Schizosaccharomyces pombe: one gene and its partners. Changing the gene in region 2 together with the main gene of any one other region gives a genetic interaction. Each region holds a gene or a part of one and is shown on either strand. Other genes may lie near its edges. The genes, in order: rgf1, rga1 and rgf2.

The links.
Region 1: of rga1 (region 2) and rgf1, a mutation in one rescues a mutant of the other (synthetic rescue), as found in Schizosaccharomyces pombe (2 studies listed by BioGRID).
Region 3: of rga1 (region 2) and rgf2, a mutation in one rescues a mutant of the other (synthetic rescue), as found in Schizosaccharomyces pombe (one study listed by BioGRID).

What each region holds. Positions count from the first base shown.
Region 1 is NC_003421.2:1,241,515-1,249,970, forward strand, and holds rgf1 (RhoGEF family guanine nucleotide exchange factor Rgf1), read left to right. Parts: upstream 1-3,671; 5' UTR 3,672-3,748; coding exon 3,749-6,430; intron 6,431-6,476; coding exon 6,477-7,799; 3' UTR 7,800-7,956; downstream 7,957-8,456. Other genes in the region: RhoGEF for Rho1, Rgf3, read right to left, coding at 1-1,698; tudor domain and nuclease, Snd1, read right to left, coding at 8,043-8,456. UniProt on the Schizosaccharomyces pombe protein: Stimulates the exchange of Rho1 and Rho5 GDP-bound form into GTP-bound form. Controls septum formation, cell wall synthesis and localization of F-actin patches. Coordinates actin deposition with cell wall biosynthesis during bipolar growth.
Region 2 is NC_003423.3:4,193,176-4,201,248, reverse strand, and holds rga1 (Rho-type GTPase-activating protein Rga1), read right to left. Parts: upstream 5,203-8,073; 5' UTR 4,955-5,202; coding exon 1,502-4,954; 3' UTR 1,216-1,501; downstream 1-1,215. Other genes in the region: glucosyltransferase Alg6, read left to right, coding at 1-742, 791-914, 973-1,173; U3 snoRNP protein Nop14, read left to right, coding at 7,092-7,241, 7,293-8,073. UniProt on the Schizosaccharomyces pombe protein: GTPase-activating protein for Rho1. Involved in the F-actin patch localization, cell morphogenesis, regulation of septation, and cell wall synthesis.
Region 3 is NC_003424.3:5,078,101-5,086,448, reverse strand, and holds rgf2 (RhoGEF for Rho1 Rgf2), read right to left. Parts: upstream 5,732-8,348; 5' UTR 5,345-5,731; coding exon 2,842-5,344; exon of another isoform or gene 2,840-2,841; intron 2,787-2,839; coding exon 2,365-2,786; intron 2,321-2,364; coding exon 1,769-2,320; 3' UTR 1,394-1,768; downstream 1-1,393. Other genes in the region: translation initiation factor eIF4A Tif1, read right to left, coding at 1-886; Golgi alpha-1,6-mannosyltransferase Och1, read left to right, coding at 6,073-7,263. UniProt on the Schizosaccharomyces pombe protein: Stimulates the exchange of Rho1 and Rho5 GDP-bound form into GTP-bound form. Controls septum formation, cell wall synthesis and localization of F-actin patches.

The DNA of each region.
Region 1 (8,456 bases), on a different chromosome or scaffold from region 2:
ATAATTAATATAAGAGGATTTAGCAGCATGAATCCACTCTAGTAAGATATCACCAATAATTGAAACTACTGGGCCCTGGAGACGTTCCCTCATAATTAATTGTGGTAAGAACAGTCGAGAATGCAATTGTCTGATTGATTCAACATTTCCAAATACAGATTGAATAAAGTCAGCCACTCGATTGCTGGGAACAATCGCATCTTGCTGCTGCACAATTCCGTCCCTAAACAGTTCAGCTAGGGTATTTAAGTCTGCAACGTAATCAGATTCCTTACAAATAAGCTCGTGGATATTATTTTGCCTAGCAATCTCTCTTTTACTGAGAGAAGATGGTAATGAATTTAGAGAAGAAATGTTCCAGAAAATGCTCCAAGTATCGCTACTCTGTCCTGGCAGAGAAGTGAATTCAAGCGACGAGTTACGAGCACATCTACAGCTATAACATTGATATTTGGAAGGACATGATCTGGATCTACAAATGTAAGAGTAACAGCCGCCGTTGGTCAAAAATGGAAGTACTCCACTACCAGAAGGAGGTTCATTAGATGTGAAAGCAATTTGAAGCTTTTCAAGATTTATGACTTCCACAAGACCGTAATTAATCCAATCACCAAGGATGTTTTTCGCGATAATTTCAGCAATCAAAAATTCCATAGATGCAATGTGAATAGTAAATAGCGTAGCCATCACCTGAGCTACTTCTCGACGAGACACACCTTCGTGGACCAGGCCACCAAGAGCAGTAAACACTTCTTCTTTGCACCATTTGTATAATTTACCGACCAACCAAGGTTCTCTACAGCTGCTAAAAAGGGTTTCCGATTGAGCACGTCTGTGAGTTCGAGTTATCAAAGGAGAAGAAATTTTTCCAGATGCATAGTCTTGGACAGGTATCTTTGGTAGCTGTCTTGTAGAGGAAATATCAGATTTTAAACTATAAGGATTTGGGGGTGTTAGATATTCGACGGAAGGGCTTAAAGGCGACTGTGGACGAAGAGCGTCGCTCGAGTAAAGACGAATCGGACTAGGAGTGCGAGCCGGTGATCGAGTAGGTGATAAAGGAAGATATGGCTCTGGTGAGCAGGATAACGATATGTCATTGTATAGAGAGTAAAGACTAGTGGAGGATGTGGTGCTGTAAGGAGAAGAATGCGAAGAAACAGAAGAAGGAAGGGGTGGACGTGGTAAAGGATGCACTAAGGACCCACCAGGAGAAACAGGCGTTTCAGGTAATGGACGAAACGAATCTACAGTATTTTGTTTGTTTCCAGGAGATGTTAAAAAGGGGTCCGTGTCAAGCGGGTTGTTAGGACTGAAATCATCAAATAAGGCATTAGGAAATGAAGAGTAAGTAGTATAGGCTGCAGAATTTTGAGGTTCATTCGGCAATTGTCGATACGTTGTTCTTGATGGAGATGACTGAACCGTGTAAGACGCGACTCTACGAGAGTTAATGGATGCTGGATGTTGAGGAGGCGAATAAGAAAACCGATGGGGAGAATTATTCGAACGTTTAGAAAGAAAAGGAGGAGAAAAGAGTCTGGTGGTAGAAAAGTCGGAAAACGATAGACGTTTCTGAAAAGATGGTGGAGAAGAGGAATGAGGAGGATAAGTGTCCTCTGAAGAGTCTAAACAAATTCGGCTCTTTCCACCATGGTCTTTCGAGCTCCGATGAAAAAGTTCATTGGAGAGCTTCATAAAAGAAAAAGTGGTAGGGGGAACCACAATCACCAAAAATGACTAGGTCAAAAAAGAACTACAATAATATTTGAAGAATCAAGGCAAGCTAAGGCCAAATAGGAGTCAATTTCAATTGCAATCCAAGAAAGAGAAAGGTCAAAACTAAATGTTGCAGGATGGACAGTGCAACAAAAGAGAAAAGAGAGGTGAAAAAAGATAGAAAAAGGAATTGAGAAAGAAGAGTATAAAAAAAAAGAAAGAAATGCGAAGAGAAATTAATAAATGGAATAAAATAAGGGAAAATAAATTAAAATAGAACAAATTCAGTGTCAATGGAATTCAAAAAATGCAAACCAATCTCGTACGCCCTCAAAAAAAGCAATTTTATAGTAAGCCGGAATGAAAACGATTGATGCTTTCAAAGTTATGCGATGAACCAGAGAAACTCCCGTCCTCTATTAATAAAAGACTTTGACATAAAATTACGAATACAGAAAGAAAGAAAAAAAGAAAGAAAGAATTGTATCGCAATATCAATGCAACAGTCTGTTTATTCGGTTTGTGATGCCACAATAAAAGGGTTAGGGCGGAAGGAATAATATAGGATGATCTGATTGAAACAACCCAAAAAGGAAAGAAAGCTCCCAAGCGTTTCAGAGGAATCAAGTTTCGTAGGTTTATAGACAGAGAAAGAGAGAAAGCAAAAGCAGTATATTATGAAAGGTAATGACTTGATCAAAAAAACAACCTCTTCTAATGAAACGTTTGGGATAAATCAAAATCGATGCCTAAGAAAAGATTATAGGACTTTATGGTTTTTAAATATATGTGTAAATGTTAAATAACTTATAACCCACCACCAAGGGATCTTCGTGGACGGCGAGCGGAGTGGATAAGAAAATGGCTGGTTGTATGTTCGCGACGGAAGAACAAAATTGGTCTTTGACTAGCAAATTTTCCAAATTTAGATTACATGATTTAAACGATAAATAGGGCAAATAAAGTGTACAAAAAGATATTTGATCAATTTATATGATGTTGAGCACAAGCTGAATAGTAAACAATGCGAACGCAATTAAAATAAAATAAGTCAATACAGCATAGTCATAGAAATCGATCAATTGAGGTTATCCGGATTAAAGCTAATTATTTTAGATGATGTTTTTCATATTTGTAAATCGGTAATACAATTATGAGCTGGTCGGACAGAAAAAGTGAGCACATAAATTGCAGCAAGTAGAAAAGCAATAGGCAATATAAAGTAAAGGAGTTCATTCATGACTTCCCTTTTTATATAAGCGTTTTTTTTTTTAGTGGAAAGTCGACCAGGATGCAGTTGAATGTTGATATTAACTTTGTTAGGACTAGTGAAAATTCAGATTTGTACTTTTTTTTTAAGGAGTTCAAGACTTTTTTACTACATATTCAACATTGAAATCACCTTATCTATAGAAGAAGTAGATAAACTTAGCCCAAAACAGCATACTGATGACTTATAGCTTCTCATCCCTTCATAATATTAATGCGGTTTACTGCTGCTGTAACAATTCTTCTGATATATTAAGTATACGTATTTTTCCCTTCGAGGATAATCTTTTCTTAATATACCTGTTGCTCTCTCAAATTGCTAAGCAGACAAGTAAACAAATCAATTGTTTCATTGAACGAACCAGGACGGCTATATAAACTTATTATTATAATTTAAATCAAATTTTAAACATTCAACTCTGGAAACACTAACAAAAGCCTTTTTTTATGTCGCCTTTTAGCATGTGTTTCGAGTGGAAACCCTCCATGCAAAAGAAATTGAAGGTGAAAGCAATATACTAAAGCAAAACATTAATTCATCAAGCAATACGCAATTTACATATTAATGGTCTTTGATTTAGAAAATCGTATAAATTAGAATTTTTCATCATCTTACCGTTATAACGAGTTCGTAGCTACTTTCGCAGAAAGTTTGTGGTCAAATTATCTTGTCTTTTTCTCCACCACCAAACCCTCGTTTTCACGGGAAACATTCAGCATTGTCGATTCGATCGTCAAACTGATTGTTTTTATAGTAGCAATGGATTACCGGCATCCAAATGCACTCGGTGTGAATGAGAGCTCGCGTGCTTATGAGGAAATTTTTGGTGCTCCAAGAAAACGGGAGCCGGCGAGAACTGTAAGTACTCCTGCGTTCATGGAACCGGCTCCAGTCTCAAAAAAACCTCTTCCTCCTCCCACGCGAAGGCTTCCTCGGAAACCTTTGCCCTTTCGTTCCACGAGTTTGCAGCCTCCATCGTCTCAACCTCCTGCACCTCCAACTCATCAGAGAGAAGCATCTCCTGTGAAAAATATTGAGCACAGTGAATCTTTTCCTTCCGTTTTTGGTACTTCAAATAATCACCAGATCGTCCCATTGACTCTTAAAGACGGAAATGATTTTGGTGCTCTATATGCATCTTTAAACACCACACCCCATTTTCCTCAGGTATCGAATCATGCGCCCAATAACTCTAATTCCCCTTCTTTGACTTGGCACACATCATCCGGTGATGATTCCAACCAAAATCCTTTTTTCGTTCGGCGTCAGTCTCAGAGTAGCACGTCTCCGGTTTCGGATTCAGTAGATGAGAACCTCCTTTCAGCAGTCTCTTCTGTTACAGAGTCCGTAGAAACAAACCTTCATCTCGATCAAAATTATCCTTACGGCTCTCCTGTTCGTTCGTCTAAAAATCCCTTTCTCTCTTCAAATTCTCGATTACCAACTGATGATTCTTCTCACACTGTTGGTTCTCATTCATTTACTTCAGGAACTCACCCACCCATTGTTTCTTCTAATTCCGCCTTTACACTTCCCAATGCTGTTACTCCTGCAGCTCAAGCACCTCTCATACGTAGTGTTAGTGAATATCCTGCTAACGTTTCTCCACCTGCCCAGTCCCTTCAGCTACCAAAATCTACTAGCAATCCCGCGGATCTTCATTTAAGCATAGCTTCTGCTAGCAGCCATAAGAATATTTTTTCTGGGTTGGACGTCTTTTCTAATGTCTTTCATGGTCCCTCTACCACATTACGAGACAGAGAACATGATATGCGAAATCGCTCATTTGATCATTCTACCTTGGCTCATTATGAAGCAGTTAAGCAGCAGAGACTTGGTGTTGAACCTACTGCAAGGTCCTTTACGTTGAGCTCTTATAAGTCCCGTGCAAGTGGAAATTCCCTAATTAATGATCGAAGCTCTACAACAACGCCGACGTTTGTTAATTCGGAAGCTAGCTCGCCTGTTCATAAAAATAAACGAAGACGCAGAATATATGCTGCCTTACTTTCTCGTGTTGCCAGCGAATTGTTAGATAGACTACAGCTAGGTGATATCACGAAAGACGGTTTAATTTATTCTAATGCCTTTACTGGCGATCATGCAGTCACCGTGCTAATGGGTATTATACATACTTCTGATAGAAATCTCGCTTTACTTGTCGGACGCTCTTTAGATGCACAAAAATTTATTCATGATGTTACCTATGATCATCGTCTTCGTGATTCTCATCGTGAAATATATCAGCTTCAAGGTACTGGTTATCGCCCCTTCTTACGCGCAAATGATAATGCATCCATTAACAACAAAAACCATCATAAGGAATTGGAGGACAATGAGTCGGGCACTCGAATCTCACCGTCCACGTTAGGTGACACTTCTTTTCCAAATGGTATATTTACTTTATTGACGCATTGTTACTCTCCAACATGTGCAAAAGATCATCCCTGCTATTCTATTTCATGTCCTCGACGATTGGAACAGCAGCACAGACTATTTGCCAAAATGCGTGCAAACACTGAACAGTCTTCCTCCCTAGCGTTTGATGATAAGGAACAAAAATTGTGGATTCACAGCGTACCCCAGGAGATTGCTTATAGTGTCAGTGACCGGGAAAGAAAGCGTCAAGAAGTAATTTGTGAGGTTATCTATACTGAGCGAGATTTTGTTAAGGATTTGGAATATCTTCGGGATTATTGGATTAAACCACTATGGGCTTCATCTTGTATACCTGAACGAAAAAAAGAAAAATTTATTCGTACTGTGTTTTTAAATGCTTTAGAGGTTCAAGCAGTTAATTCTAAATTGGCTGAAGCTCTTACTAAAAGACAAAACTATAAACCCATTGTGGATAATATTGCGGATATATTTTTGGAGCACGTTCCAAAATTTGAGCCTTTCATACGATATGGTGCAGGCCAACTCTACGGAAAATACGAGTTTGAGAAGGAAAAGTCATCTAATCCTGCATTTGCTAAGTTTGTCAGTGACGTTGAACGTCTGAAAGAATCACGAAAGCTAGAGCTAAACGGCTATCTGACTAAACCAACTACCAGATTGGCTCGTTATCCATTACTTCTAGAAGCGGTATTAAAATATACTGATGAGGGTAACCCTGATAAACAAGACATTCCGAAGGTCATTAATATCGTTAGAGGATTTCTCTCACGTCTTAATGTTGAAAGCGGAAAAGCAGAAAATAAGTTTAACTTGTTTCATTTGAATCAACAGCTGGTCTTTAAACCTGGAGAACATTATGATTTACATCTGCTTGATGCGAACAGACAATTAATATTCAAAGGACCCTTGAAGAAAAGAAGTGCTGGTTCCACTTCTTCAGAGTCTGCGTCGGATGTTACTTTGTTTCTCTTTGACCATGCTTTGTTGATAGTAAAACCAAAGACTATTAATAAACGTGAATTATTGAAAGTTTTTCAAAGAGTATGTTTTTTCTATTCATTTAAATTGTTTTTTCTAACTAGTATAGCCTATTCCTCTATTACTTCTTCAACTATTCCTTGTTGATGATAATGGATTAAGAATCCCTTATTCAAGTAAGCAACAACTAGCAGCTGTATCAAAAGCAGCGAATGGGAAGCCACCTTCTAGATTTTATCCATTTAGCTTACAACTTTTGGGTCGTAGAGGGTACGAAATCACTCTTTATGCAACCACTGAAGTTAGTAGGGATAAGTGGTTAGAGCATATTGACAACCAACAAACATTGCTACAACATCGTAACCAGTGGTTTGAGTCTGTTACCATTTGCTCTAATTTCTTTGTTGGTGATAATAAAGTAAATGCGATAGGCGTTTATGATAGTGGTCGTCGACTTTTATATGGGACTGACACAGGTGTGTACGTCTCTCTTCGAAAAGCAAACAGCCCACTTCAATTCAAGCCTGTACGTGCGTTAAATATTCCCAACATTTCACAGCTTGAGGTTATTGAAGAGTATAGTTTATTGCTACTGCTTTCCGATAAGGTGTTATATTCGTATCCTTTGGAAATGATTGATGCGGATACTACTCAAGCCCCTAAAAAAGCAAGGAAAGTTTCTGGTCATACAACTTTCTTTCGCGTAGGAATTTGTCTGGGTAAAGTTCTTGTGTGTGCTGTCAAAAGTTCCGTCTTGAGTGCTACTATAAAGGTTTTTGAACCAGTCACTAATTACTCTAAAACACGGAACATGCCAAGCTTGAAAAAATTCCTTACTGTTAACCAAGACCCATTGAGGATTGTCAAAGAGCTTTATATACCCACGGAATCAACTTCGGTTCACTTCCTGAAGAATAAACTCTGTGTCGGATGTACGAGAGGTTTTGAGGTGGTCAGTCTCGATAACCTAGAGACGCAGTCTCTACTGGATCCAGCCGATACGTCTCTTGAATTTGTGGAGAAGAAAGAAAATGTTAAACCTATCGCTATCTATCGTATGAATGGCGGTGAATTTCTTTTATGCTATTCCCAATTTGCTTTTTACGTAAATCGAGATGGATGGCGTTCTCGTCCTACATGGTTTGTTGTTTGGGAAGGAAGTCCTCAAAACTTTGCCTTAAGTTATCCTTATATATTGGCTTTTGAACCCACTTTTATTGAAATCAGACATGTTGAAACCTCTGAATTGATCCATGTCATTTCCGGCAGAAACATCCGTTTGCTTGCTGATGGAAGAGGAAAGTTAGGGGACGGTGGTGAAATATTTTATGCGTGCGATCAACGTGGTGAAAATTGTGAGACAAGTGTTGTTTGTTCCCTTCGATTGACGAGTGCTGCTGCCCACGCCAAAGAGCAGCATGTAGACAAGTAATTTTGGTTTTTTTGAACTTAATTTTCACGTTTTATTTATAACGGTTAATTGGATATTGGTTTGTTCGGTTATCTTTTCTTTTCTTTTTTAAAAAAATAATTTAGGTGCATGAATTTTAATGATAAATAAGATTTTTTTAAAATATATACGTTAACAATATTTTAAAGTGAATAACTAGATATATTGTAGGCAAAAAGTACTAGCGAATATGATCAATGTTACTATACTAGAAGTAAAATATTTTTAGTCCTCATATTCTAGGGGATCACCATATACCCAGAAACCGATATGATTTAGACGTGCTTCTTGCTGATGCTCTTCTAGAATATTGAGGGATGCGGTATCTTTTTCAAAGTGAGATGTTTTTTTCTTGGGAATAACACTAGCCATGCCGAGCGCAACCAGTTGGGCATTAATACAGTCAGAAAAATCTGAACCATCACTAGGATTATACAAAGTTACAGAATACACGTTTCCTTCGTGTCCATCGACTTTAGCCACTAGACCTTTATTCATGGCTAGCTCCCTGAAAACGAGTCTTGCGTCTTCATAGTAATCAGAGCTGGGAGGAGGTAATTGAACGTAACTGAGACGAGCAAGTTGCGCTTGAGGCTTCAATTTAGTATAGGTATCTGGTAAAGAGGATATGTTTTTGAA
Region 2 (8,073 bases):
GGTGGTCGCGCCGTATACCTAATTTTGTGGACAGAAATGCTAGCCTAATTATGGTCCTTTTTCAACCTGCTTTACTCTTAATTGATCATGGTCATTTTCAGTACAACTGTGTTATGCTGGGTTTAGTTATGTATGCAATCGCTAATTTGCTTAAAAACCAATATGTAGCTGCTACGTTTTTTTTCTGTTTAGCTCTTACGTTTAAACAGATGGCTCTATATTTTGCTCCTCCTATTTTTTTTTACTTATTGGGAACTTGTGTAAAGCCAAAGATTCGTTTCTCAAGATTTATCTTGTTGTCAGTCACAGTTGTTTTTACGTTTTCCTTAATATTATTTCCATGGATTTACATGGACTATAAAACATTGCTTCCTCAAATTCTTCATCGAGTGTTCCCGTTTGCTCGTGGTCTTTGGGAAGATAAAGTTGCTAATTTCTGGTGCACCCTCAACACTGTTTTCAAAATTAGAGAGGTGTTTACTTTACATCAACTCCAAGTAATTAGCTTGATTTTTACTCTCATTTCTATTCTCCCATCTTGTGTTATATTATTTCTTTATCCTCGTAAACGTCTTTTAGCTCTGGGTTTCGCAAGTGCATCATGGGGGTTTTTTTTGTTCTCTTTCCAAGTTCATGAAAAGTCGGTTCTTCTTCCTTTACTTCCCACTTCTATTCTCTTATGTCACGGAAACATTACAACCAAACCATGGATTGCTCTAGCAAACAATCTTGCTGTTTTCAGGTAAAATATACATATTTACTGTTTAAATTATACTAATATTTTTATTAGCTTATGGCCGTTACTGAAAAAAGATGGTCTTGGTTTACAATACTTCACATTAGTATTAATGTGGAATTGGATTGGTGACATGGTAGTTTTCTCAAAAAACGTCCTTTTTCGGTTCATCCAACTGGTAAGACTATTTTTATTATTTGCTATTTTTTTATGCCAGGTGTATTAACTGGATGCAGTCTTTTTATGTTGGTATGATTGTTATTTTGGGAATTGATCTGTTTATCCCACCACCATCCCGTTACCCCGATTTATGGGTCATTCTTAATGTTACGCTTTCATTTGCCGGATTTTTTACTATTTACTTATGGACTCTTGGTCGCTTGCTACACATTTCAAGTAAACTTTCTACTGATTTGCGTAACAAAAAAGAAGCATAAATTGAACAAAATGATTTTATGTTACATTATTACGCGGAAAAATCAACATATAGTAAAGGATTTTATTAAAACAATTCTGGGAGAAGGATTGTTATTCATGACTTCAAATATTAAACGAAAGTTATATTTGCCTGAAATATTATTTTAGCCAAGTAACCTTTTATTAAAAGAACGATTATTAAAGTACCATCATCCCATCGAATTCAACACGACAAAGTTGTAAGCGGTACCAGACCGAGCTTTCTACTTTCGTAGCTGATCTAATGTTCAGTAAAAATTGAAAATATGATAAAACAAAAAAAGACAAATGGGATTGTGTATCGATAAATTAGGAATCCCTAATGACTGCATGCTGAGGTTTAACTTGAGGTTTAGGCTGAGCATCGCTGTTAGGTGAAGCTTCATCTTTAGTGGTAGATGAAAGCGAATTTGTGTCAGCAACTTCAGAACCAGAAGGCACGTCTGACGTTAAATTAGTTGTAACTCTTCTTATAGGTTGCCTTTTCCTCTTTGTAGACGCCGTATGTTTTGGAGTATTCCGTTCGTCAAGACTCATCTGAGAAATTATTTCTTCACACCTTTTATATAGTTCTTTAGATGTCCAAGCCGCATTATTATAAAAAAGAGTAGGATCATCTAATAAAAGACTAATTTCTCGAGGGACTTCACAAAATTTCTCAAAGTTCTCAATCAACAGATGAACAGCCTCGATGGCAAGGAAACTTTCGTCAACAGGATCGTTGCTTTTGGAATATAATATGTTCGGAGTAATTACGGTAGCAAGATTATGAATATCCATTTTGCTTCCCACCTCATCATCGATGTGGGAAAAAGAGGCAACCCAATATAGAAAGCCAAAAATTACCTCCATAGTGTCTCTATGTCCCTTGGGTAGTAAACATATTGTAAGATGCAAAACCCTCATGCGTTCTTCCTCAGACTCCAACTTTGAAGACGTAATGAACAACCCAAATAACTTGAAAGTTAAAAGAGGATCAGGAAGCTCTCTAAGGAATTTTTTCAATAAAGCAGCCAACTGAATGGGTGTTTCTTGCTCATAATCAATTGAATCCGGAGAAACATCGAGCATGTCAGATAGCTCTTTTAACCTACGTATATTTCCGTTCTTTCTAAATACACCAACTACTGACATATCTTTTCTTTTCATAGCAGCCAATGTATTCCCAATAAAGGCAGGAATATGCTTGACACCCACGCCTGTTCCAACCGTCGACTGAGCGTTATTACGCTCAACAAGAATCTCCAATGGCACCCCAAAGGTACCTTTCTTTTTCACGTTCTTTTTTTCGGCATCTTTCCCCTTGAAAGCCTTTCCAAATTTTTCCCAGAAACCACCTTTGCGCAAATCGCTCATTTCCATCAATTCATCAAGTGAATAATAATCCCGTACAAGAGGGTGCAATATTAATACAGCTACGTGCTTGGTAAATAATAATTCTAAATTAGAAAGATCTGAGAGATAACGAATAGGAGCATCTTCTGATTTAGGAGTCAAACCCTTTTGCGTACCATCATTTTTATCATAAATCGCCCCAGAATTCTTTCGATAGGAAGGATCAGTATAACTGGGCATATGCCTAAATGCATTTGGTCGGTGTTCCCTGTTTCTTTGTTCTGAAATGACTTTAGGAATATCATCAAGAGTAAAAGCACGATTTTCATCAAAGGCATCCATCCTTCTTTCCAAAGGACTAGATGCTTGCTCAACTATGCTTTTTCCAGTAATAGAACCACCATGAGAATGCCAATGGGGACTTTTGTCTTTTCCAGACTCTGACACATTCTTTGATAATTTAGATGTTTCGGTAGAATTGCTTGAGGACTGGGTTTCATTTGAGGTGGCCTTACGATTGCGGGAAGACTTAAGATGTCGCAAATCATTAAGAGTATTGGCATACTTACGAAAACTGTCTGAACTGGCAGTAGTCTCGGCTTGTTTCGCTGTTTCAACAGTACTGGATACATTCTCTTGTTTTGGATCAACAGATAACGGCTTTCGCTGTGATGAGTCGTTATTCTCCATAAGTATAGTATATAATCGAACCAAGGCAATACGTAGCAAGTAAATATATTGAGAAAGCCTGCTCACATACTCAAAAGACGGATGAGGTTCGTCGTTACTAACGTTGGATGATTCAGTATAACATAAATAACATTCTATTTGTTTCGTTTGGTTGTTCCAGCGCGCCCAATCGTAATTCTCCCGATTGTTGTATTTACATTTAGTACATGACAAACAGCCAATATGGCAGCGAATTTCACCCAGGAGAACACAGTCTTCCTCCAAGGCAGAATGACACACATAGCATAAATCGGAGCTGGCATTGGCCAAATTTAAAGGCATATCAAACGAAGAACTATCATATCCTTCTTGATCGACAAATCGAGCTTCTTCTACGGTCTGTAAAAACTGGGGAAGAGCATGCTTACAAGCATGATCTTGTTCTAGTCGTAAACCTCCCGTAAGCGATATCCGAATAAGTAACTTGAGGTAATGAGCTAAACCGGTAAAGAGTGATAAAAAGTCTTGAACAATAGCAACGTCGCGAATATCCGAATTATGGCATTTAGCAAGTAAAGCAAATATTGAAACTAGCTTCTTGCAAAGCAACTTAGCTTCACGAACATAAGGCATACTTTTAGCATGAAAACTTGAAAGTATAGTTTCTAGCGAATCAATGCCTTTAAAAAGTATCTCGATATAACGAATAAATTTTTGGGCACAAATAACACTTTTTGTGAATTCTCCATTTGAAACAAGGAGAAGCATATCACTGATACACGAAGCTGTATACTCCTCAAAATAAGAGAGTGCATGCCAAATATGAAATATTTTCTGTTCTAAATGTTTTTCCCGTTTGCGTAATTGTGATTGAGAAAGCTCAGAATCCTTCTTTTTAGAAGTTTCTATGGATGTCTTTTGACAAAGTTTAACATTCCAAAACTTGTAGATCATATGACAAGGAACGTGCCAATTTTGAGATACCCCATTTCTGTAAACTTCAACAAATTGCCTTAAAATTGGACCATCACAACCGCAACATCGTGCAGCGAAAAGTGTTGAATAATGATAATGACAATACACTTTGCCCTCATATTCATAGTAAGAATCATTCGGACCAAAAACAGTGTAACATAAGGAACAAGTGAAATGTTCTATATGAAATTTTTTATTCAAAGCTGTAATATAATAACCTCGAAGGGCCATTCCACAACTTGCACAAAGTAAGTCAAGCCGCCGAAAATAATCTGTTTCACATAAAGGCACTTGCTTGTTAAGAGTGGGATCATCAATAGGAAAAAATTTTGAAGCAACTAAAGAATTACAATCATGGCATCGAAAACATTCTAAGTGATATATATTTCCAAGAGCACGTACATATTGTCCGGATATAACTTGTCCACATGAAGCACATATCTTTGATGAAGAAACTTTCCTTACAGCCTTAGGAAATACAGAAGTATCTGATCGCTTTAGACTTTGCTGCTCCTCTTTATTAAGCAAACCAGATTGGGCTAATTGTTGCTGATTAGGCAACGCTTTTCGAGACTCAGCAGAGGTATGCCTCCGAGAAAGTGAGCTGCCACCCTCAGTACCAGCAACAGTGCTTGTATGTCGAGAATGGGGGAAATTCTTCGTTGTAGAATTCTCTTCTATCTTATTTTGACGGGAAGGAACAGGAATTCGTTTCGGTGGTGTTGGTGATACACCATTCGTTGTGTACAGCAACCCATCTTTTTTGGCGTCCCTTTGGGACATACTGTCCTTGCTGTTTGAACGAACCTTAGCTTCTATATTAAACGCCTTTATCACTTAATAAACCAGTATGACTAGTTAATCCTCTTTGGGATATTTCCGTTCGAAAATCACCCCCAAGAAAACCTTATGGGACTCAATTCCTTCAGTTTTTAAAAGAGTGAAATTAATAATATGTAAGACCTCAAATAACTAAGCCTATAGCTTTTGAAGCTATTTTTTTTCAGAGACTAACTATTGTTGCGGTATGTTGGTGGTTGTTGGTCCGACTTCCACCTAAGAGGAGACTGCACACCATGGAATCCAAGTCAGAAATGCTAAACTCCAGCTTGATATAGGGGCCAAAATAGACCCTAATTTTTATAGCGACTAAGACATGAAGTCATTTGGGAAACCGATTTCAGTACACACCCCGAAAATGACTTTAGATCTTCGTTTAGAGAATAATCTGTATTTTTGTTTTATCTCTCTTTAATGCTACACTTTATGCTCCTTTTGGATAGTTATTCTTAGGTGTAGGTTTAGGCACTGAATTTTACAACGACTATTATACTAGAGCTGCTCGCTGCTCATGCTAAGGCTTTTACACATTTACGAAGTCTATGTTATAACAAGAGTCCTTATAGATGTTTGAAATTATCATAGACAATATGAGTGACTTTGATTTTAACTACCTGTTCAAGTTTCCCAAAAAGTATTTAAGTACTTTCCCACTGTGTTTCCCAGACTACGTACGTCTTGCAAGTTCAGTAGGGTTGAATTCAGATAAAATAAATGGAGTTTATAAAAACTCAAATCACTTAATACATTATCTTAAAAATACATGCAGAATTTTTTATTTTTATTTCTGACAGTTGCTTCTATACTGAATTATCATAATATAACGATTATTTTTTTATGAGAAAAAGGAAACCAAAGGCATTCGAGCATTTTTGAGTAGTTTCATAACTGCTTTTTGTTTTGCTTAACTTGCATCATTTTGGCTTCTTCACAGACTGAACGCTAAGGTCCTATGTTGTGCTAATTCAGAGTTTACATCTTCTTTTACGACCCTTAGTTGCACAAACTTCCACACAATTGATTCGAATTCTGAATCCTTATTCGATTTGTTGCTTGAAGCTACTTTCGTCTGTAAAAAGTTGTGTATTATTATACTAACAATGGACCTCAAATCCTTTACAGCTTCAAAACTACTATTCGTCACTGAGTCATGAGCAAATTTCGTTAAAAAACTACGGGTATTTATTATCTCAGAAGAAATAGTTTACGAATTCATGAAGTAGATCAGCTTTATGAGTTACCGCGGTTAATAAGTTAAAGGATTAGCACTTAAGAAAAATCAAAGAGAAAATGAGCATTAATTTATGTAAGAAAATAATCAGAAATGATCAATTGTGATGGTTTGAGCAATAACAAGTGAAGGTTGTAAATTCAGTAAACAAACAATAGATATCTGTTCCAAGAGGTTAATCGAAACGGTTACTTACAAAAGATTTGTGGGTAAAGGCCTTTGATAAATGTATTAAAGTCGAATAATCATCATAAGCATTTATATTTCATGTAATGCAACAGAAAATTTTTTTATCTAAAAAATGAGAAGGAAATAAAGAAAAATAAAGAAGAAGCATAGAATGAAATGAACCACACTTTTATTGTTGTTAAATTACTTACAAAGAAAAAATGTCGTGCGCGTTATATATTGCAATCGTTTGTGGACTACTGGAATCCTTTTGAATTAATTCAATTGTAGGCATAACTTTTTTAATGGTTTATATAAATACGTAAAAGTGTTTAAATGAAAGATTGATGATGCTGCTTTTCATGCACCGCGTCGAAACGCCTGACCATTTAACAATCACAAGTCAACAGTATGATTTCAAGAAGCACTTTAACAATTTACCAAAATACTTATTTTAAAATTGAATATAATATTACTGATCTGGAACGTTGCAGGACACTAGGTGGTTGATTTGTTTACAGTTCGTGAACCACCTTTATATAATTATAAAATTTATCCTTTGCCCCAAAATATAATAATGCACAGTTTACAGTATTTTAGTGTGAGTACTCACAATATTAACTTTTTATCATATACCAAACATTTTCTTCCAGAAGGTAATTTCTTCATCAAATTGCTGTTATGGGTAAAAATGGATCACAATTAAAAAATTTGAAATCGAGTATTCGCCAAGCAAACCTTGGTACTCGTCCAAATAATAAAAAGTCGAGAACTAGAAGTACTGAGTCCCATGAAGACCGACAGGCTAAAGTTCAAAAAATTCAATCAGATGTATGTTTTTGTCTTTCCAGCTTATGAGAGCAATAGCTAATTATTTTTAAGTTTAATTTATTTGACAGGCAGTTTACAAAACGGAAATTTGATGTTGGTGGTAGACGTGTAAAGGGAACTGAGGGTAAACCCGGAGTTAGTCGGGGTGTTGGAGAGGAACTTCGAAGGAGAACAATTGGGGCTGAATTGAAAAAGAGGAATCGTTCTGGAGCTATAATCGATCGACGATTTGGTGAGAACAATCCACATTTATCAGTTGAAGAGAAAATGTTAGAACGATTTAGTCGTGAACAACAGCGTCGTAGCAAAAGAGAGCTTTACAATCTAGATGCAGAAGATGTTTTGACTCATGGTAATAGGCCTTTGTCTGATATAGATTCCTTTGAAGAACCTGGATTTGGACTTGATGAAGGAGAGGAGTTAAACGATGAAGTAGTTCGTCGCATGCATTTTGGCGGATTTGAGGATTCTGATGCCGAAAATGAGAAAGAAGGTGAAGGTGCACATAAATCTAAACGTGAAGTGATGTCGGAAATTATTGCCAAGTCCAAGCATTACAAAGCTGAACGTCAAGCAGAGAAAGAAAGATATGAGGACGAAAGAGAAAAACTTGACGAACAGATGGAGGATTTGCAATCCTTTTTGTCGGATTATAAAAAAGCATCTAGGAAGTCCGGCATAAAAACACAACGACCAATAATTTCAGACGGAGATGCACGTTATGATTCATTTGTCCGTGAAATGGTTTTCGACAAACGCGCGCATCCTACTGAGCGTACTAAGACCGAAGAGGAGCTTGCTCAAATTGAAGCTGATCGTTTGCGTGAATTAG
Region 3 (8,348 bases), on a different chromosome or scaffold from region 2:
GAGCTTGGTCCATATCACCGTGCATGGAGGAGACGGTAAAATCACGCTCAGTGAGCTGCTCGGTAAGCCAATCGACCTTTCTACGGGTATTACAGAAAATAACGGCTTGAGTAACAGTGACGGTTTCATAAAGATCGCAAAGAGTGTCAAGCTTCCACTCTTCCTTTTCAACGGCAACATAGAATTGCTTGATACCTTCCAAGGTAAGCTCATCTTTCTTAACAAGGATACGAATGGGATCACGCATAAATTTGGTGGTGACTTCCAAAACATCTTGAGGCATGGTGGCAGAAAGAAGAACAACTTGAGCAGTAGGAGGCAAAAGTTGGAAAATGTCGTAAATTTGGTCCTTGAAACCACGGGACAACATTTCATCAGCCTCATCAAGAACAAACATTTGGACGGCATCGGTAGGAAGAGCACGACGTTGAATCATGTCGTGAACACGACCTGGTGTACCAACAACAACGTGAACACCAGCTTGCAAGGCAGCCATATCATCACGAACAAGAGTACCACCAATACAAGCATGGCATTCAACATTCATGAGATCGCCTAAAGCAACAACAACCTTTTGGATTTGTTGAGCAAGCTCACGGGTAGGAGCAAGGATAAGAGCTTGGCATTGCTTCAAGCTAGTGTCAATCTTCTGCAAAACAGAAATTGAGAAGGTAGCAGTCTTACCAGTACCAGATTGAGCTTGAGCAAGGACATCACGCTCTCCCAAAATGGGCATAATGGCTCTTTGCTGAATGGCAGAAGGACGCTCAAAACCGTAGGCATAAATACCACGGAGAAGCTCAGGCTTCAAATTCATGTCGTCGAAGGTGTCAATAACCTCATCGTAGTTGGTTTCAATAACCGAATCCTCCAGTTGGTCTACCATTTTAGCAATCTTGCTTAGCTAGGTGAGTGGGTTGTGGAAAAAAAGTTGAAGGGTTGTAATAAATATTTTCTCTAACACACAGTCACACACCTGAAAAATTGTAATAATTCCTGATTATTTTAGTACTTTAAATACACAGACTTTTACTGAAAAATCTATTTAAAAAAATTATAAAAACATTTATGTACACACTTTACTTTTAAGATTTTAGATGTCTTCTAAAAAATGATGTAGCAAGAAAAACCCTACTGAACGTGGCGATAAACTCCTGCACACTCTATCGAAGCCTGCGTTAATGCTGTTTAATACAGATAAGCAACTCGTTGCGAAAAAGTGTATTTTACGTGGTAATATTTGGTGAATGCTAAAACATAAAAAATGTTAAGGAGTTTGGAATGCATATAAAAGCATTTTTTATTATTGTAACACTGTTCATGTTATCTTCAATAGTATGAAAAGTTATCGATTACACATGAGTATTTTAAACAATCACAATAAAAGATAATGAATGAATATGCTGAATGCAGAGAGGTTGTTTATTAGTTGACTAAAGAAATGCATAATAAATCTATGGAAAAAGAATGATTCGTAACAAAAACAGCGTGCAATGTTGAGCAAATTGAAAAAGACACAATTCGTTTAATAAAACACACAATCGTCAATAGCATTATCTCAACCATAGTAAATATATGTACGTAGGAATTTTTAAAGTTATTCCTTAAAGAGATGAAGCAGGGTCATAGATTCTTGAAGCTTAGATTGTAATAGCATATATTATAATCAATTGATGTGGCATGCAAAAGATGTCCGGAGTAGTAAATAGTATTCCAAAATGCTCAAGGAGAAGTTCGCACAAATGTTGACAGTACTGTCATAAACGATCTAAAGTGCAGGACCTGCTGCATTTGCTGGAGGAAGTATTAAAGAATGAACTATAGGATTTTCTCCAGATGAAAATGGAATTGGCTCAGTGCTGTAAAGTATTTCACCTCCTTCACTAATTAACCCTCGGCCATCAGTTAAAAGTTTAATGTTTTGTCCCATTATGATTTGAACGAGTTCGGCTGTTTCGGCATTCCTAATTTCAATGAAGTCCGGCTCAAATGCCAGGATATATGGATAACACAAAGCGCAACCTTGAGGTTGGCCCTCCCAATTAATCATCCAGGATTGCCTAGATTTCCAGCCATTCGTATTAACAAAGAATGCAAAATCTGAATAACAGAGGAGAAATTCTCCTCTTAAGCGAAACATGGCAATCGGTCGAATATCTTCCCTCTTTTCTAAAAATCTAAATGAAGTATCAGCAGGATTTAACAAAGATTGGAATACGGCATTTTCCAAACTTATAATATCGAATCCCTTAAAACTTCCCACACAAAGCTTTGTCTTGAGAAAGTGAACGGACAAAGCTTCCATCGGCATTTGTACCTCCTAAAAAAATGTTAGTATAGAGAAAGAACGACGAGGTAACTCACAGTAAATATTTTCAAAGTTGCTTGATTGCCAAAAGGCTTTTTTAGAGACTGGGTCTTTTTGTTCTTCAAGGCACGATCAGCCTCATAAATCCTCAATGTAGTATTTAAAACGGTGGACTTTACCGCACAGACTAAAATTCTTTGCATACAAAAACCTGTTTTGACGAAACTAACATGACCTGTTACACGTCGCAAAGACTTTGAATTAATTTGTTCTACTGAATCAAGAGCGTCCAGAGGTAACTCGTACAAAATCTTCTCGGCTAAAAGCAATAGAACGTTATGTTCCTCAATTACATCTAGTTGAGAGATATTTGGTAATTGCAGCTTGAAAATGGGTTCAAGACAACTGCCATTATTACTTTTTCGAGAAGAGATATATAGTCCCTTGTAAGTTCCAAATAGTAATTTACGGCCCGCATCTAAAGAGCTGTTAACAAACATTTACTTCTTTAACATATTGTTTATTATACTTACCATAGGCAACGGCACATAATAACTTGTTGCCGGTAAACCAGGACTGACAACATATGCCTCGACTTTCAAATACCAAATGACGCTTTCGAATGATATCTTGCTGTTTCTCAATGTGTTGTTTCCATTGGTCTCTAGCAATCAGTGTATTGAGATAAAGACTTATAGAAAAACCACGGGCTCCAATAAATACTAACTGCAAACCGTATGCTTTAACAGGAGGTGGATTACTTTTTGTAATTGAAATTGGATTAGTTAACAAAGCAGAAGATGGTCGACGCGGAAGGCTACCTCTCGATGGCGAGTCTTCGATGTAAGAAATCGACAACAATTCTAAAGGTAATGGCCTGAGATGCAGTTTATGAACTCTTCTTTTCATTTGAATCTTTATCTTACACAACAAGAGAAAATTGTCCAGTAAAAACATGTGAATGTCGTTTTCAGTGTCCCCATTCGAATAACTACTGGCTTTTAGCTTGACGACGCCTTTGAAAATCAATAAGCGAGATGGATCAAACAATGTTAATTTTGCTCGATCCGCAGGGCTGCAGGAAAGCTGTTCGTTTAACTGTAACAACGAGAGTCTATTTTCAGTCTTCCCTGTTTCATAGTTAAGCTTAGTAAGAAATTCACGAATCATTTCGATTACACGAGGAATGTTTTCCGTATCAGGATTATCTTTATCAGTGTACTTAAGAACTCCACTTAATAGTAGCGGATACCTCGCAAGGCGAGTCGTAGGCTTGGTCAAATAACCATTAAGTTCTAGTTTTCTAGACTCTCGTAATCTTTCCACTTCATGAACATAATTCGCAAAATTCCTATTCGTACTTTTTTCACGCTCAAATTCAAACTTGGCAATAGCCTGATTGGCACCATATTTTATAAAAGGCTCAAATTTAGGAACATAATCTAAGAAAAGATCACCAATTGTGTTAACTACAGGTTGCAGAGTTTGAGTACGGTTTAGAGCATTTGACAAACGAGAATTGACAGCATGGATTTGCATGATATTATGAAAAACGCAACGTATAAATTGTTGTCGGTTGTTTTCTGGTATTACATTTGAGGTTGAAAGAGGCTTAATCCAAAAGTCACGTATATACTCTAGGTCTCTGACGAAGTCCCGTTCTGTGTAAATAACCTCAAAAATGATTTCCTGTCTTTTCCATTCACGGACATCGATCTGGTCTACAACTTGCTTAGGAACATTTTCCGACCATAAACGATGATCTTCCTCTTGTTTATCTGTAATCGAAGTTGATCCCCCACTTAATACAGGTTGGACCTTCAAATGGAGACGGGCCTGCTGCTCTAGTCGACGTGGGCAAGATATAGAATAGCAAAGGCGATTACGAGAACATGTAGAGGAGTAGCATTCCGTTAAAAGAGTAAACACTCCATGAGGATTGTATTCGGTTTCAGGAGCTTCAGGCTCCTTAGTAATTGCGCTTAGGGATGAGGTGATGAAAGCTAAAGAATTTACCTGTACAGACGAGGAGATGGTAGGTGTCGTAGAAGAATCAGATAAAACAGAGTCAAATGAATCAGACGTGTTCGCTCTTCTTTTTGTGTAGAGAAAGTTATTTTCGATCGACGATCCATTGGAATCCATCGAGGAGAGACCAGGAGGAGGAGAAATGATACGTCGGTACTGGTAAACTTCCTTGAGCGAGTCGCGAAGTCTATGAGAGTAAGTAACGTCATGAAACATCTTTTGCGAATCCAGGGCTCTTCCTAAAAGTAACGCCAAATTCCTGTCAGTCGTCCGAACTATATGCATCAATACATCGACAGCTTCCGATCCAAGAAAGGCATCTTTATAAAGAAGACCATCCTTCACACGGTCACCGATGTTAAGACGCTTTCGGAACTCAACGGCGACTTGAGAAAGAAAAGCCGGATGTATATAAGGGCGACGAGATGAGGTAGAATTGGAATGCGAAGGGGCGATGTTCGAAATCGCAGATGCAGACTTGGAGCCTGAGTGATGCTTAAGTAAGACGGCAGTTGATCCTTCAGGAAAAGATGGCATGGGTGCATTAACATGGACGCTATTTTTTCGAATGTTAGGATAAGAACTGCCATTAGATACATCAGAGACGGAAAACGACTGGCGAGTATGGGGTCTACCGAGCGATTGTATTTCTTTCCTACTACGTGCATGAGAAATGCCAAAATCATCTGTGGAGGAAGAACGGCGATAAAAATTATTTTTTTTATTAACTTCTAAGCCATCTCCAGGACCCGAATCTTTTCTGGATAGCGAAGAGGGAGAAAAGCTAAGGCTCGATGCAGGACGAAAATGATTGCCATCATTTTCATTAAGGGATGTGGTAGATGATAAAGCGGTAGGAGAATGTGTGATAGAGCCAGAACTCCTTCTTTGGAACAGTTTTTGGCTACTGCTAAATGATGAAAAAATACGAAATCCTTTAGCTGCTTTACCAAACGATTCATGAGACTCAGAGTTTATATTTCCATTCTGAGCTCCATTGCGAAGCATTTTCTTGTTTGTTGATTCTAATTTTACTACCCTCTCGAGGTATCGCAAGTTTTAGAAAAACGGCGCTATGCAAAGGGGCTTTTCTGATACCAATCGTCCGTACCGACACAACAACAGAAAGAGAAGAAAGATATTTTTCAAATTCAAGTAGTACCTTTTTTTTTAACGCTCCAATTACTTTCAACAATAAAAGGTTCTACAAGACAAGTCGTCTTATTTGAACATGGAAACTTCACCAAATTCCTCTTATTATACACGAGAAGCCGGAGTACGTATATTAATGCCAATTCTCCGGCTTTCCAATTATTCAAACAGCTTGGATACTCAAAAGAACGGATTTGAAGTGGATCGCTGCTTACACTTCTATATTATGGGTGGTGCTTTGGGTAACCTTTTTCTGTTATTGTGTACATACACCTAACACACACCGTTAACTACAGCCGACAATACTTGGACTGATATTACGCACGGTACCGCAATCAAGTGTGGCTGTTGCTATTATAGAGTAATATCACATTAAAGCCCTTCGATTTTCGGGTCGCTTGTGCGAAGTTAAAGTAAGAGCATCTGCGCAAACTCAGCCAGAGCGCCCACCTGTGTTTTGCTGCGATTCTATGAAAAACCGCAAAATCTGTATCCTAGCTGCATTAAGTACACATTAATGAGTCTTTGTTAACGAACTAAGTAATTAATTGATACATTGAGCATTAGCATATAACGAGTTCAGCATGTTGAGACTCCGATTGAGAAGTATTGTAATAGGAGCTGCGATAGCGGGATCCATACTGTTGTTATTCAATCATGGTAGCATAGAAGGAATGGAAGATTTGACAGAGATTTCGATGTTGGAGGATTACACTCCGGAAGCCGCTAATAAAGATTATGTTGGTCAACAGGAGGAGGAGGAACTTTTGTATGATCAACCGTCTTACATTGAAGAAGAAGAAGATCCAGATTTGGAAGCTTACTTGAGCGATTTGGAGAGGGAAGAGCTGGAACACAGCTTGGAAGAACTTGATGAAGAAAATAATTATAAACTTCATCTACGGTACTCCTTTTCACAGCTTCAAGATTTTGACGAAGAAAATGAAGCTGTACACATGATCGTTCCTAAAGATACTTATGAATTTGAGGTGCCTTATCACGCTGACATTCCCAAGTTAATATGGCAAACTTCCAAGGACCCTTTTGATAGAGAGGTTATGAAGTACACTCGGTTTTGGAGAATCAACCATCCCAGTTATTCTCATGCTGTTTTAGACGATGAGCAGTCTAAAGCATTGGTCATCAGTAGCTTTGGCGATTCATCAGTTTCCAAGATTTCACAAGCGTATGCAATGATGCCTCTGCCTGTTCTGAAGGCCGATTTCTTTCGGTATCTAGTGTTATTGGCAAAAGGTGGTATTTATAGCGACATTGATACGGCACCATTGAAGCATATAAACAATTGGATCCCTCGTGAATATCGTAAGCGTAATATTCGACTGATCGTTGGCATTGAAGCAGATCCCGACCGCCCTGATTGGAACGACTACTATGCCAGGCGTGTACAATTCTGTCAGTGGACCATAGCTGCTGCACCAGGCCATCCAATTCTTTGGGAACTTGTTCGTAGAATTACCGATGAAACTTGGAAGCTGCATGATTCAAAGAAGCTTTCGAAAAATGGCGAGTCAGTAATGGAGTGGACTGGTCCAGGTATTTGGACCGATGCCATTATGGATTATTTAAATTGGCAGTATGGCCCTTTCTCGGTTGAGAATATCACCAATTTAGAAGAACCTTATCTTGTTGGAGATGTTTTAATCCTACCCATAACTGCATTTAGTCCTGGTGTCGGTCACATGGGTAGCAAGTCTCCAAATGATCCGATGGCGTATGTTCAACATTTCTTTGCCGGTTCATGGAAAGATGATTGATCGTTTGAAATGTGGGTGGGTGGTCATTTCTTGGTATAATGTGCTTAAAGTGTTCGAACCGGGCAATTCGATAATACTAAATACACGCATTTGATCTGGTTTGGAAACTGTTACGGGTTGTGTTCGAGCAATTTTTGTAAATTATAGCTTGCGCAAACAAAAAAGTTTCTTTCGTGGTTGATTTAATCTTTCCCTCATAATTCTACATCTCTTTACGATTAATTTTGCATGTATTTTGTACGTTAGCCAATCAAGTTGGCAATATTGGTGACATTATTGAATTATATGAAGCCAATGCTTATGTCCTGATGATCAACTTTCTTTTTTTTTTTTTTTTCAGCGCTTTCATCAACGCGTTTTATAGCTCAGCACTATAATATTTTCCCTTGTAAACTGTTTTGAATTCTAAAGCTGTTTGTTTCTTTCAATAATTTTATAAAACTTTTGCGCTGATCACAATCAGTCTTTTTCAATTTTTTTCTCTTTTGTGATGGTATATTGACCCCAAAGCGTTTCTGTATACTTAGGTGAATTATCAAAGTAGTACAGAGATTATGCCTAAGATTTGAAGATGAATGATAAACCTGTTTCGGCTTTGTAATTACTTTATGTCTTTAGACTTGCATGAATGCTTCTTGGGATTAAAGGACCTCATATTTCTTCATTAAATTTTTGAGGTTTGTCTCTCTTTCTTTGCAACTACATTTTTTTTCAGAAGGTGACTTTATTTTGCTAGTAGTATTAGCGCTGTATTCTATAATATTTGTTTACTTTGGACCGACAAAGTTCATCACTTTACAGCTTCAACTATACATTATTTTTATTATAAATAAATAGACTGAAAAGTGTTTCAATAATTGAATAAACTTACTATTATCTTTTAAAGCTATGCTAACGCCCTTGCTTTGAATACCTTAGAACATTAAACACCCATATAAGAAGTTATTGTAGTGTTTATTTACCTCCATTTCCCACTGTCACAAACACGATTGTTGAGTGCATTTACAACCTGAAGGTTTAATGCTTTTCCTAATTGATGTTAAAAGTATTTCTTTTTTCCGTTATTTCTTTTCTATAAGTGCAGG